Linked DNA regions of Oryctolagus cuniculus. The protein of the gene in region 3 interacts with the protein of the main gene of each other region in a biochemical or structural test. Links are inferred from orthologs where the notes say so. Each region holds a gene or a part of one and is shown on either strand. Other genes may lie near its edges.

Region 1 (4,241 bases), on a different chromosome or scaffold from region 3:
TTCAGCAGTAAGCTAAAGAAATCTTTTTCTTAATTTTCTAACATGAGCAAATTGTAAAAGCCAAATTCTTGCTGATGCCAGCAGACCACTTACTGAAGAGCATAAGGAAGAAGAGAGAGAATGAAAAAGCAAAAGCTATGTTCATGAGGGTCAAAGGTCATTTCATCATCCTTTTCCTTCATTCTTTATGGATGGGGACTTAAATTGGCATCATTGGCTATGTATGTTCACATCAGATGTGGTTTATATTTCCATATTCTTGTCCTACCAAATAATATAAGCAAACTGAAAAATATCAATTGCTCTATGATTTAGCAAATCTAGTATTTTAAACTGGAATCCTTATAAAGTCCTATAAAGTTTGGCCTTAGATGTTCTTTGGAAGTATAGCACTAAATAAATTACAAAAATTCATCTGTGAAATAGGTACATATTTTCAGATAAGATACTAGCTTTGCAAATCAGTAACCAACAGGAAAATGTAAGAAAGATATATTTTATTTATTACCTTATTTTGATCTGTCCAGTAAAAGAAAAATCCCTGAGGGTCAGTCCTCAAAATAATTGGAGTAACAATAGTGGAGTCCTAAAAATATAAGAAAACAAAACATGTATATCAACATATGCAACTGTAGAAAGATCTCCACAGGAGTTTCTTGAGAAATAATAATGGTTAAGAGTTTCTCTGAAGATTTCAACTAAAAGAAAATATTTTAAAAATTAGACACAGAATTTTTAACTTCAAAGGATTACTGAATATAACAGTAACAGTAATCAGAATATTTGTACATAACTCTAAAGGAATGGTCAGTGAGGCATTTATTGATGAAGACAAGTTTTGAAAGGCATTGACATGTTTTCTATTAAAAATCTATATTTAATTTTTAAGTGACTTTAACACTAACCATCATTGCATATTCCATATGACTACAGTTAATTAAAATTCAGGCTCAAGGATAATATTTTAAATTACATTTTCTCCATAAAATGATTTTTAATTATACTAAAGAGAATAAACATAGCATTTGGCCATTGCTGTTTCCAAGGTAACAGTAAATAAGGCCATTTTCTCCATATTGGGAAAGAGATACACAAAACTGTTGAAAATTTAAATTTCACATACTAAAATAAAACATCACAGACAGTCTTCTGCATTTAAAGTATGCCTGTTATAAAGCAAATGTTGTATGAACTGTAATTTTAATAGTAACATTAAACATTTCTTTTTTTTGTATTTGCTTTTTTTTAAGTTTTTTTTTTAACTTTTATTTAATGAATATAAATTTCCAAAGTACAGCTTATGGATTACAATGGTTTTCCCCCCCATAACTTCCCTCCCCCATAACTTCCCTCCCACCCGCAACCCTCCCATCTCCCGCTCCCTCTCCCCTTCCATTCACATCAAGAATCATTTTCAATTCTCTTTATATACAGATCAGTTTAGCATATATTAAGTAAAGATTTCAACAGTTTGCACCCACATAGAAACACAAAGTGAAAAATACTGTTTGAGTACTAGTTACAGCATTAAATCACAATGTACAGCACGTTAAGGACAGAGATCCTACATGAGGAGTAAGTAACATTAAACATTTCTAAAATATCTGGTCATGTCTTTTGGAAATTTTCAGAACGACATACCATCTACACAAGAAAATACATGTCACCAGATATAGAGTTTTATGTAGAAAAACTCAGGCCTTTGCAGGAATTGTATTTTTCAAAGAGCCATAAATTGGCTGTCCTTTTAAATGTTTTCATACATATTCTAATTATCATGTATCATATCTTCTATGTGATCAAAGAACTTGTAATAAAGAACCTGAAGAGATAATTTTGGAATTTGGTGACTTTTCTGTCTGATGGATATAATAGTATTAATTTAATCTACATGTTAAGTGTTATTAGAGGAGCCTGGTTCTAAGAGGCTGTCCTCTGGAATTCAAATTCCTAACTGTTCCCTTTTAGTGCCTCATTTTACACAACTGAAGGAAAGGGGATAATAATAAAACCTGCCCAGCAGACTTATTACAAGGCTTAAATAGAATAGTGTGGGTGAAGGACCTGGACAAATGTTTTCCACATAAACTGTTGATATAATGGATTATATTTAAAATCAAATGTATTAAGTTATAATTGAAAATATATCTTGATATGCCTTTTTACTATGGTAGAATACACATGATATAAAATTTACCAATTTGAAGTATACAGTTCATTGGTGTTAAGTACATTCACCACCAGCCTGCTCCAGAAATGTTTCATCTTCTCAACCTGAAACTTTTCAGACTTTAAACATTATCTATGGCAGAGCATTTGGCATAGTGGTTGAGATGCCACTTGGGATGCCCACATGCCTTATTGGAGTGCCTGGATTCAAGTTTCAGCTCCACTCCCAATTCTGGCTTCCTGCTAATGTGAATCCTGGGAGGCAGCAGGTGATGGTCCAGTCCATGCATCCCTATCATCTACATGGGAGACCTGGCTTTGGCCTGGCTCATCCCCCGTTATGGCAGGCATTTAGTACTAGTAGTAGTAGTACTAGTAGTAGTAGTAGAATAGTGCAACTTCTTAGCTCCCTGTCCATTTTATTTTTAAGATATATTTATTTATTTGAAAGGCAGGCAATGGAGAGAGAGGGAGAGACAGAGAGATTGTCTACCTACATGTTCATTCTCCAAATAGTCCATCAAACCAGGGCTGGACCAGGCCAAAGCCAAGAACACCAACCACATCTCCCACCTGGGTGGAAAGGATCTGAGTATTTGGGGTATCATCAGCTATTTTCCTGGGTGCACCAGCCGGAAGCTGGATAAGAAGTGGAGCAGCTGGGACTCAAATCGGCATTGTGATATGGGATGCCTATGTCACAAATGGCAACTTAATCTGTTGCCCTACAAGGCCAGCCCCTACACCATTTTACTTTCTGTGTCTGTAACTTTGATATTGTAGTTAACTCATATAAGTAGAATTATATCAGTGTCTTCCTTCATGTCTGTCTTATTTAATTTAGTATAATGTTCTCCAAGTTCATCCATATTACAGCATTATCAAATTGCCTTCATTTTAAAGACTGAATAATATCCCACTTTATGTATATACCATGTTTTATTTATCTATTCATCTGTCAGCGGGTATTTGGGTTGTTTTTGTCAATTGTGAATAATGTCATTATGAAGACAGGTGGACCAAGATCTCTTTGAGACCCTGCTTTCAATTCATTTCAGTCTACACCCAGAGGTGCGATTGCTAGATCATAGAGTAGTTCTGTGTTTAATTTTCTGAGGAATTGCCATGCTGTTTGGTTCTGATATTCTTTTTTAAAATTTTTTAAAATATTTTTTCTTTATATAAGGTGAACAAATGTCATGTATTTCATATATTTAGATTTAGGAGCATAGTGATACTTTCCACCCTACCACCACTGGAAGTTTTAGCTAAGAGAAAATGCCCAATATTCTCGACATATATTCTGAACATGTAGTTTGAGAAATATCTTTTATAAGGATTGTGCTGTTGCATGGAACTTCAACTAGTATTTTAAAATTTCAACATTACTTTTAAATTTAAATGTCAAAGGAAAGGCAGTTGGAAACAAATGTAATATCCTATTGGGAAAAAAAACAACTTTTAAACTATTTTAAGCTTCTTCTATGATATTGCATGCATAACAGTTCACAGAAATATTTCCAATAAGTCACAGCAATATTTTCAGTCCTGTTTCACTCTTCAGGGGTGAGAAAATAAAAGCTTCTGAGAGATTGCACACAGCACACATTACCACTGCCAGATGAATGAAATTAACCTGCAGGTACAACATAATTTTCAGGTCAGTTCCTTTTATTTATTGGGGATTCATCAAGATTCTAATCAAAATATTCATTGGCAATTCACTATAAGGATCTCCGAGAATCAACTATTTAAGTTAGAGTGAAGCTGCCCAAATTCATACTTTGGAACACTTTACTAGTCTGCCTCATTTGCTTCAGAAACTTCTATTCTAGGTTATTTTCTCACCTCCTTCAAATTCAAAGCTCCTTTGTTCAATATTTTCTTGACCCCACTCTTCCAACCACAGCTCCCCTGTCAAATGATCATTTACCTCAGCTCCCTGCCTGCCTCCTCCATAATCACCTCTAACACTCCAAGATCAGCTGGAACTGGCACGGTTGCCATGCAAAGCAGGATTTGACCCAGAAATACAAGAGTATTCATTTTTAATTCCCTATTTTTCCCACCTC
Region 2 (4,144 bases), on a different chromosome or scaffold from region 3:
AGACAGTTAATTTAGGGAATAGGAGATGAAGTTGGCATTAATTCTCAGGAAAGCAACACTTGTTTCTGCCAATGAGTTAATGCACAACCTTGAGATGAGAGTCATAACACTGGTTTACTTATCTATAATTGGAATTCTGACCCTTCAATCTGTCTTAGAAGCCCGTTCTGTACACATGCCATTTTGGTGCAACAATGAAACACTTGGTATCATCAATATAACCACACAAGAAGACATGACTGTTCTTTGAGTAATTTTTAGGAGTTAGAAAGCAGCAGTAACTGCAAAATTCGACACCTTTTTGCTGCACGCCCCCTTCTGGTGGTTGGTTGCTATTGTCATCTGTCTCCTTGCAGGCAGAGTAAGAAGCTCCTTTGGAAATTAAGGGTCTCTTTCTTTCCATCCAAATATGTGATGGAACAAGAAATATGTGTTATGGGGTAAATATGGAGTACATACTGAGGTGTGTAGCTTCAGAAATGGAGTGGTTAACGCAAATGCTCAGGGTGAAACCCACGTTCCTTTAGATTAGTTCTTCCAGACAATATAGTGCTGCTATTGCCTTCTTTTTTAATATTTATACACTGAAGAAGCCATCTAGAATCACTCCTGAAACTAGTGATTGCGATTGCGGGCAGAGTTTCTGGTGTATTGCCATTTCATAGGTGACCAGGCTATGTCAGTACTCCTCAGTAGCTCAAAAAGGAGGCCCAGAGATAAGCTTTTACCTCTTCTCTTACACTACCATGTTTTTGCTTGTATCTCTTACTATAAAAGCTACAAAATAGTTAAAAAGAGAAATGATTTTAAAAAGAAATGGATAGCTAAGTGTTCCTACTTGTAGGGGGGAAATAAAGGGTAAAAAGAAATTTTAGAATGGTTATTGATATACTAAAGGTTTATCTATGTCGGCTTCCCAAGAAAGTTTGAATTCCATTAGGTCCTTGGACTGCCCCCTAAATGGTATTTTCTCTTCTTCACATGACTATTTGCCTTTCTCTGCTTTCTCAACTGGTGACTGCACAGGGATTGGGAAATTCTCCTTAATGATAGCAAGATATATTCCTGAAGCCTAGAGTGGTTCTAAGGTGATGGCATGAGTGTATTGTGAGTCAATGTAAATAGAAATTATTCCGTACTACCATGTGCCTCCTCTGTTTGAGATCCCATGGCTATTGACTGCCCAGTGTAGGGTCATTTCCTAATGAGTTGAGAGTATGCACAGAAAGTATCCTTTTAACGTAATAAAACAGTACAAATAAAAACGAAAATCACTTCAGAAGTCACTGGAATGAGGAACTGGATGTGATCTTCACTCACACACCCCGGGCAGTGGGAAGTCCCTCCGGAAGCTCGGGCACTGCTGGAGAAAGTGCTGGACTAGATGATTGACGTTTCCCCTGTGAGGAGGGGAAGAACAGCTACCTACTGACTGTGAGCTTAACCTTCTCAATCAGTTGCTCAGTGCCTCAAGGGCAGACCTCTAGCACAATCTCCCATCTATGAATCACTAAATATTTACTGGAGCATAACTTTTCCCTGACACTTCTGCATTTTGCATGATTAATTTTATATGTGATTTAACTGAAGCGTGGATGGTCTTGCTCTATCCAGTTAGGAAATTAATGGTGAAGGTGAGAGGTATTTATCCCATCAGTACTCTCTACCAGAACCTCCTGCTTCATTACGGAGAATATATCAATACTGTCCTGCTTCTGAATGAAAGGCAAATGGCTTCAAAACACACAAAAGATTATGCTTCTTGGAATTAACTCCAAATTGAAATGTAAGGTGATTGTTCTTTGCAGGGAGACAAGAAAAGAGGTAGTACACTTGCAGATTGACTTTTTACCTTTAGCTGCAAGATTAAGTGATGTAATACGCTCTCATTTTGTATTTTACTTTCAACTGATGAATATCTAGCATTTTCTGAAATCATCTACTTACGCCTATTTAAAAAGACAGAAGAGTAGCTATATATTTTTAAGTCTTTGTTTTTATATTGACAAAACAATCTCTTTAGGATGAGCTCTTCTACAGAACCCTCAGATGACTTGTTATAATCAATACTCCTTAACTACCACTCACATAAGACACTTTAAGAATGAGAGATAAGAACAGAGAAAAAAAGAGACATGTAGCATAGAAACTATTTCATTGTGACATTTGTTTATGAGAATATAGAACGATACTGTAGCCCCAACAGAAAGCATTGTGGCTTTCTGATGATGTAGCACAAGTTCATTCCGAGGTGTCCTCCCCTAAATGAATTTCAGAGAGTCACAGTGCTTGCAATTATCCAGGTATGCTCACATAATGGAGGTGATCACAGATACAGCAAGTAGAGTCAACACCTCATATGATTCTTAATCAGCACTAGCTTAGTTAGAGGACTTGGCTAAAAGATCACAACAGTTTTCAAAACTGAGGTCACATGAAACAACACACTAATATCAGAATTTGGGAAGCACAGTTCTTAAGTCACAAATCAAGTTATTCTTGGAGAAAATCCAGGGAAATATTCTCCCCTGATCAGACTGCTACTCCAAAGAACCAGGTTAGTAAACACAACTAGCAAGTAACTGAGAAAGTCTGTCCAAAAGTTGAACGTAGTTAGTAGCTGAAAACAATCTTACCTCCTCAAGCAGGAAGCCGGCAGACCTGCAAGCCCTTTGCACATCTTGTCTAACAGCGTGGGATTCGCCGAGGAGGAAAGAAACGCAGCAGGAGGAGCTGTGGCCTCTGTTTTGCTCAAGCTTCGGTTTCACTCCTGCAAAGATGCTGCCAGAATCCTGAGCTTCTCCTTTCCAGGCCTGTAGGGGTCTCTTTTATAGCCCGGCCACGAGCGACGAGCCAATCAGATAACAGCTCTGCGGTACCAGCGCCTGTCTCCTCTGCCTCTCCAGCCCCTGGAAGGCAGGAGGAAGAAAGGACTTACGCATCAGCCATGCAAAATGGACAAGCTGGGAAAATCCTCTTCCAAAATAGACATACATGAAAAAAGTGACTCAATATCTCTACAAATGTCTGTGATTTTTAACTTCTAGAGACGGGAAAAATAAAAGTCTACAGTGTTGGAAAATATGGGAGTTTATTCTTTTGTCTGTAAAAACAGTATCAGGGACAACATTGCCTCCGGAACGGAAAGGTGCCAGTAGGAATTCTAAGGCACACTTTGGGGGTTGAATCTCAACACACTTTCTCTTTTGGATGAGAAACATCACATTGTATGTGACCCAATATTTGACCTGCTCGATTTCCAAAAGGCAGGTGGGAGGATCATCGTCTCCGAGAGATGATTTCTCCATTGCAAGACACACGGAGGTGTGGGGAGAAATAGCTAAATGGCAGACAGGAATATGCCTGGCAGCATAGAAAAGCTGGCCCAGGAGAAATAGATTTGCTGCATCTGTCATCAAACTGACTGTAGAATACTTTGCTCCAATTCTTATTAAGAACAGAATTCAGCCCAGCACTGACAATTTCTCCTGTACATGCTTGCCTCCTGCAAAAAGCCTCAAATAGCAGCCTGAGGTCCAGGGCAGCAAGGAGATGAATAAATATAGATACTGATTCTTGTTAGCAACTGTGTTCATGTCTTATGTAATTCTAAGCTTCTAAATTGGTATTTCAAGAGGAAGAAAGGGAGGGAGAGAAGGAAAGACAGAGAAAGAGAAATGCTCCAGAGAGCAGGCAGGCAGAAAAATATGGTTTGCTTTGCCTATTACCTGGCTTCAGGGTTAGCATAAGAATATTCTGCCCTGCAGGTACTTCTGAACACCGAGACTATTAGTATCTTTTGCATGTAATATCATAGACTGAATATTTTAAAGAATCATGCAGGTGTTTCGTATCTTACAATCATAGCTCATGTACACTAGAACTGCAGAGAGTGCTTCTTTGTATCTGAAAGCTGTGAGTACAAGGGGGAAATTAAATACCAAGTCTGACCCAGACAGCTCTCATTTTGAAAGCAGGTAGATTTCTGACCGCAAGCTACAGGGAGCTGTGCTTTACTTAGAAGAAACAGAGATATCAAGTAGTTCAGGTGGGAAAGATGAAAAATAGATGGGAGCCAGTAGAATGCAAAGAGAGTGCGAAGACAGAATGCAAAATGGAAAAGAGCTGTACCTGTATGTCCCCC
Region 3 (4,299 bases):
TAGGCTCTGTGTAAATGAAGGAAGGATCGGGAAAATTCAGGGTACTCATCAGAGCAGCACAGCAGAAATCCCTCTGCCGGAAGCCGCCCCGTTACCCTTCCCTGCTCAGCTCAGCCCTCGGCTCCCTCCTGGACTCACCCACCATTCACACACAGGCACACATCTACATTCAGCACCTATCTTTACCACGTGAGTAGTGTGGGCACTGCACTGGTTAAGTCACAAAAGCCACACGCCTAGAACATGAAGTAGGAATTCCTAACGATGTGTGAGGATCAAGCTTCTGTCAGAGAGATGCATTTTCAAATGGCACTCATGAATGTAGATGCTCAATTAATATCCTATTTTTCTACCACTTCTAATGGGCCATAGTATGGGGATGAGGTGGGCCATATGAAACCCTACTGAAATGTCTAATAAGAGCGAAGTCTCCACACCACCACCACGTAAGCTGTGAAACTGTACCTTACATTTTTCTTTCCTCAGAAAATGATCTCCCGGTTCATTCCATAAAAGCACAGCACAGGGCATGTAATTAAGCCTCTATGGAAGTGTTCTTCCCTCTTGGGCATTCAAACCCAGGCCCTCTGACAAAGCCCCTGTGCTAAGGCACAGCTGCTGGGAAACCCAGAGCTGTCATAGTTCAGGCCAACAGAGCTGACTGCAGAGACCTTAGACGCCCTGTTCACAGCTAAACAGAAACAAATAAAGGCAGTAAACAGGGCAAAAGGAAAAGAAAACCCAGCTCTTCAAACAAGTCTCTCTTCACCACATGTTTTCTCCCCTGAATTCTGTATTTAAACACCTTCCCTTGTTCTCTCCACTTTCTTCTCAATCCCGAGAATTCAGAAAATGTTCAACCTCCAAAATGAGAATAAAATTTAAAAAAAATATATTTTTTTAAAGAACCTCACTTTCCAAGCGCAGTGTTTCCCTCCCCCGGCTTCACGGCCTCAAGCCCACCTCTTCCCCCCAGCCCGCTGCCTTCTGTTCCTTTATGAACCTGTGTACATTTGTCTAACAGGGCTTCAGAAGGAAGACACACAGCCCGGCGAGCAGAGTAGCCATTCGTAAGTACGGGTGGCCCTGTTATTTTGTTCCTGTTTGCAAAGGATCCAGTGCACGAGCAGTTGAGTCCCCAAAGACAGTTGGTTCTCCAGCAGATGGAATGCTCAAGATAAGAGAGGGAATACAGGCTTCTGCCACCCGAACTGCCCAGACCACACTCTCTCCTGTCGGAGACGCGCATTTATTATGCACACACAAACACGCAGAACACAAGTGCAGACGTCCTCCAGGCCTCTGCCGACCACAATAGCTCCGGGTGCCCTCACGCTGGCTTGTCTGTGAACCCTGGTGGCCTGATTCCGAGCATTCTCTCGGAGGTAATCATCCATAGACGCCTATTCGAGAGACGGCATTCTCTTGCTAACTTCGCGTGAAAGCAGAACGCGGGGCTGTTGATTCAGAGACCAGAGGGAAATTTTCCTTTGCAGCCCTGATGCCCAAGACACTACAATGCTGTCCGTTTCAAACAAAAGGTTTCTCTCTTTCCCCCGGAGAGGGACGGAAAGGCTGCGGTACTGTTGTGAATTCAGGCCTAGATCTGGGATGCCTCATTAGACAAAAGATACCCGTCGCTGTCAACAACCACGCCAGCCACGCTCCCCTCGCCCCGGTCCTAATCCGGAAGGAATGGTGCAGCCGAGAAGCACGCCTGCCACCATCCACTGGCCAAGAAACTCTGCTGGGCCCCTCCTGTGGGTGGCCTGGTGGCTGCAGAAGAACACTCGGGTGACACACGGGGGCTTGCCCGCCCTCCCCGCCCCCACCCCACGAACCCCTGGCTGGGGAGGGTCGACCCCTGCTGGGCTTCTAGTTTTCACCCCTGGGGATCCCACTCGCCAGTCTGCCCACCGGTGGCTCCCCCACTTCTCCTGGACCCCAGAACGCACCGATAATGGATGCACAACGGCCACCTCACGGCGCGCCATCTCCCCCCCGCCCGCCCGCGCCCTGTGCCCCGGCTCGGCTCGCCACCCTCCGGGCGACATACACACACACACACACACACACACACACAGCTCCACCACCCCTGGGGGCGCGGCGGCCCCGGCGCTGCAAGTTCAAGCCCTCAGCCCACCTTCCCAGCCCCGCGCCCCTAGCCAGATCTGATCTGCCATTGAGCAGAGACACCGCAGAGAACGCAAGCCCCCCCCACAACAAGGGACACACAAGACAGCACGCGCCGAGGCACCCAACAAGGCAGCCCCGAACCCTCCGCGCGCACGGGCGTGTGTGTGCGCGCGCGCGCGTACCCGCGCGGGTGCGGGTGGAGGCCGGGGGCGCGCCCGGGGAGGGTAGGGGCGAGCCCGGGGGCTGGGGGCGGCTGCCCGGAGGGGCCGGAGGCGGGGGCTGGGGGCGCGCAGAGGCCCGGGGGAGGGCCCGCACGGCCGGCCCGGGCCGTACTCACCCAGTAGCAGCAGTTTGAGCTCCCGGCGGGCGTCCCGCTTGTCCCTGCGGAGCTGCCGCTCGATCTCGTCGTTGATCCGCCGGGCTTCCTTGGCCTCCTCGCTCAGGCAGCACGCCATGATGGACTCCAGAGTCATTCTTCCAAAGTGCCTCCGCTGCAGCCCCGCCGGCACCCCCTGCTCACACGCGCGCACACACACACCCTCCCGCCCTCGCTCCCCCGAGGCAGCGGTGGCCGCTGAGCCCCCGCCGCCTGGGCGCGCGTCCGGGATGAGATCGCGGAACCGCCGCGGGGGCGACGGCCAGGGCCGGGGCCACCAGGTGGGCCGGGGTCTAGGCGGGCGCAGGAGGCCTTCGCCGCCCGGCGGAGCGAGGCGGGCGCGGGAGGCGGCCGCGGGCGCTGGCTCGGGGGGCGCGCAAGGGAAGGCCGCCGCGCCCGGCCTCGCTCAGACGCCCGCGCCTCCTTCCCCGGGAACGGGCAGCCCGCCTCGCCCCCCGCGCCGCCGCCGAGGCTCCCCTACGGTTTGCGCCCGGCGGCGAGAGCACATCCACCGGGGCGCCCCCCTAGCGAGCGGCCGCCGACCGCTCCCCGCACCCGGCGCGCCCGCTCCTCGCCGCCGCCTGACACGGCTCCCGGGCGCCCGCGGCCCTGCCCGCGCCCACCGCCCGGCTAAGCGCGCAAACCCCGCTCGCCGGCCCGGCCCGCCGCGCGCTCCTCCGCCTCCGCCTCCGCCTCCGCCTCCGCCAAACGCCCACCCCCGGCCCCGATTGCCAGGCGCGGAGCGGCTGCTCAGTGATCGCCCTCCCCCTCGCCACACACACACATTTTCTTCTTTCTCTGAACTGGAGCACAGATCCGGGAGGGAGGCGGCGGCGGCGGCGGCAGCGGCGGCGGCGGGAGGAGGCGGAGGAGGAGGAGGGGCAGGAGGCGGAGGCGGAGGGACGGGCGCGGGAGGCGGAGCCGCCCGGCCCCTCTTGGAAGGCTCTCCCTGGGCTCGCAGCCGCGCGCCGCGCCGCCCAGTGCGGCTCTCGCCTCGCTCGCGCAGCTCCCTGACTGGGCCGGCCCCCTCAGGCTCCGCGGGCGCCGCCCTCTCCCGCGCCCTCCGTGGAGGCCGGCGGGCTCCGGCGGACGCAGCCGCCCTCGGCTAGGGGCAGGGCCCGCTGACAGCCGCTCGGGTTGAGCGGGCGGCTGCGACCGCGGGCCGGAACCCCGGCAACCTGCGGCCGCCCGGGCGTGGTGGAGCGGGAATATGGCGGCCTCCGCCTGCCTCTCAGCCCACCAGCCCCGGAGCGCCGCCTCGGCCCCGCCTGGAAGCCGCGGGAGTCGGCCCCGAGCCCATGCACCGGCTGGCGCCGGAGACCCCCTGCCCGGCTCCCCGCTGGCAGCGCCGGAGACCCCCTGCCCGGCTCCGCGAGGCCGCTGTGCGGTGGCCTCTGTCTTTTCCCGAGGTTATTCCTCAAACGCCATTCGGTTAGAAGCTGCCTCTCGTCACTACTGACCCCAGTTGAATCTTAGAAAATACGATTCTCTCCGGGTGGGCTGTGGCCGGAGAGGAGTGGTCACTGCCTCCCCGAGGGGTAGGGGGCGAGGACCCTGCAATTCACTTGAGATAGAAATCTGAGCAGAAAAATGAAGCTGCCCAAGTTGCCGGGAGCTTCCTGGCAGGCTCCAACTTTTCATGCTGTTGAGGTGATTTTGGTTTTGGTTTTCTGTTGTTCTTGTTTCCGTTTTACAGATGCTCCTCGTTTTTGAAAAGGCACGCGATGTTTTCACAGCCAAGTCACCGAATGTACCCTGCTCCACCGAGATGGAACTTATGGGTGGCT

Evidence for each region. The genes of interacting proteins can lie anywhere in the genome.
Region 1: the proteins of guanine nucleotide-binding protein G(q) subunit alpha (region 3) and PLCB1 form a complex in vitro, tested with the Homo sapiens proteins (2 studies listed by BioGRID, with this or other methods). The link is inferred for Oryctolagus cuniculus from reciprocal best matches to the Homo sapiens genes GNAQ and PLCB1.
Region 2: the proteins of guanine nucleotide-binding protein G(q) subunit alpha (region 3) and RGS4 form a complex in vitro, tested with the Homo sapiens proteins (3 studies listed by BioGRID). The link is inferred for Oryctolagus cuniculus from reciprocal best matches to the Homo sapiens genes GNAQ and RGS4.

The regions. Positions count from the first base shown.
Region 1 is NC_091442.1:33,006,022-33,010,262, reverse strand, and holds the start of PLCB1 (1-phosphatidylinositol 4,5-bisphosphate phosphodiesterase beta-1), read right to left. Parts: upstream 2,801-4,241; 5' UTR 2,778-2,800; coding exon 2,667-2,777; intron 587-2,666; coding exon 509-586; intron 1-508.
Region 2 is NC_091438.1:35,611,581-35,615,724, forward strand, and holds the start of RGS4 (regulator of G-protein signaling 4), read right to left. Parts: upstream 2,801-4,144; 5' UTR 2,681-2,800; coding exon 2,637-2,680; intron 1-2,636. UniProt on the Homo sapiens protein: Inhibits signal transduction by increasing the GTPase activity of G protein alpha subunits thereby driving them into their inactive GDP-bound form. Activity on G(z)-alpha is inhibited by phosphorylation of the G-protein.
Region 3 is NC_091432.1:152,216,739-152,221,037, reverse strand, and holds the start of guanine nucleotide-binding protein G(q) subunit alpha, read right to left. Parts: upstream 2,801-4,299; 5' UTR 2,610-2,800; coding exon 2,474-2,609; intron 1-2,473. Other genes in the region: uncharacterized protein, read left to right, coding at 3,723-3,943, 4,209-4,299.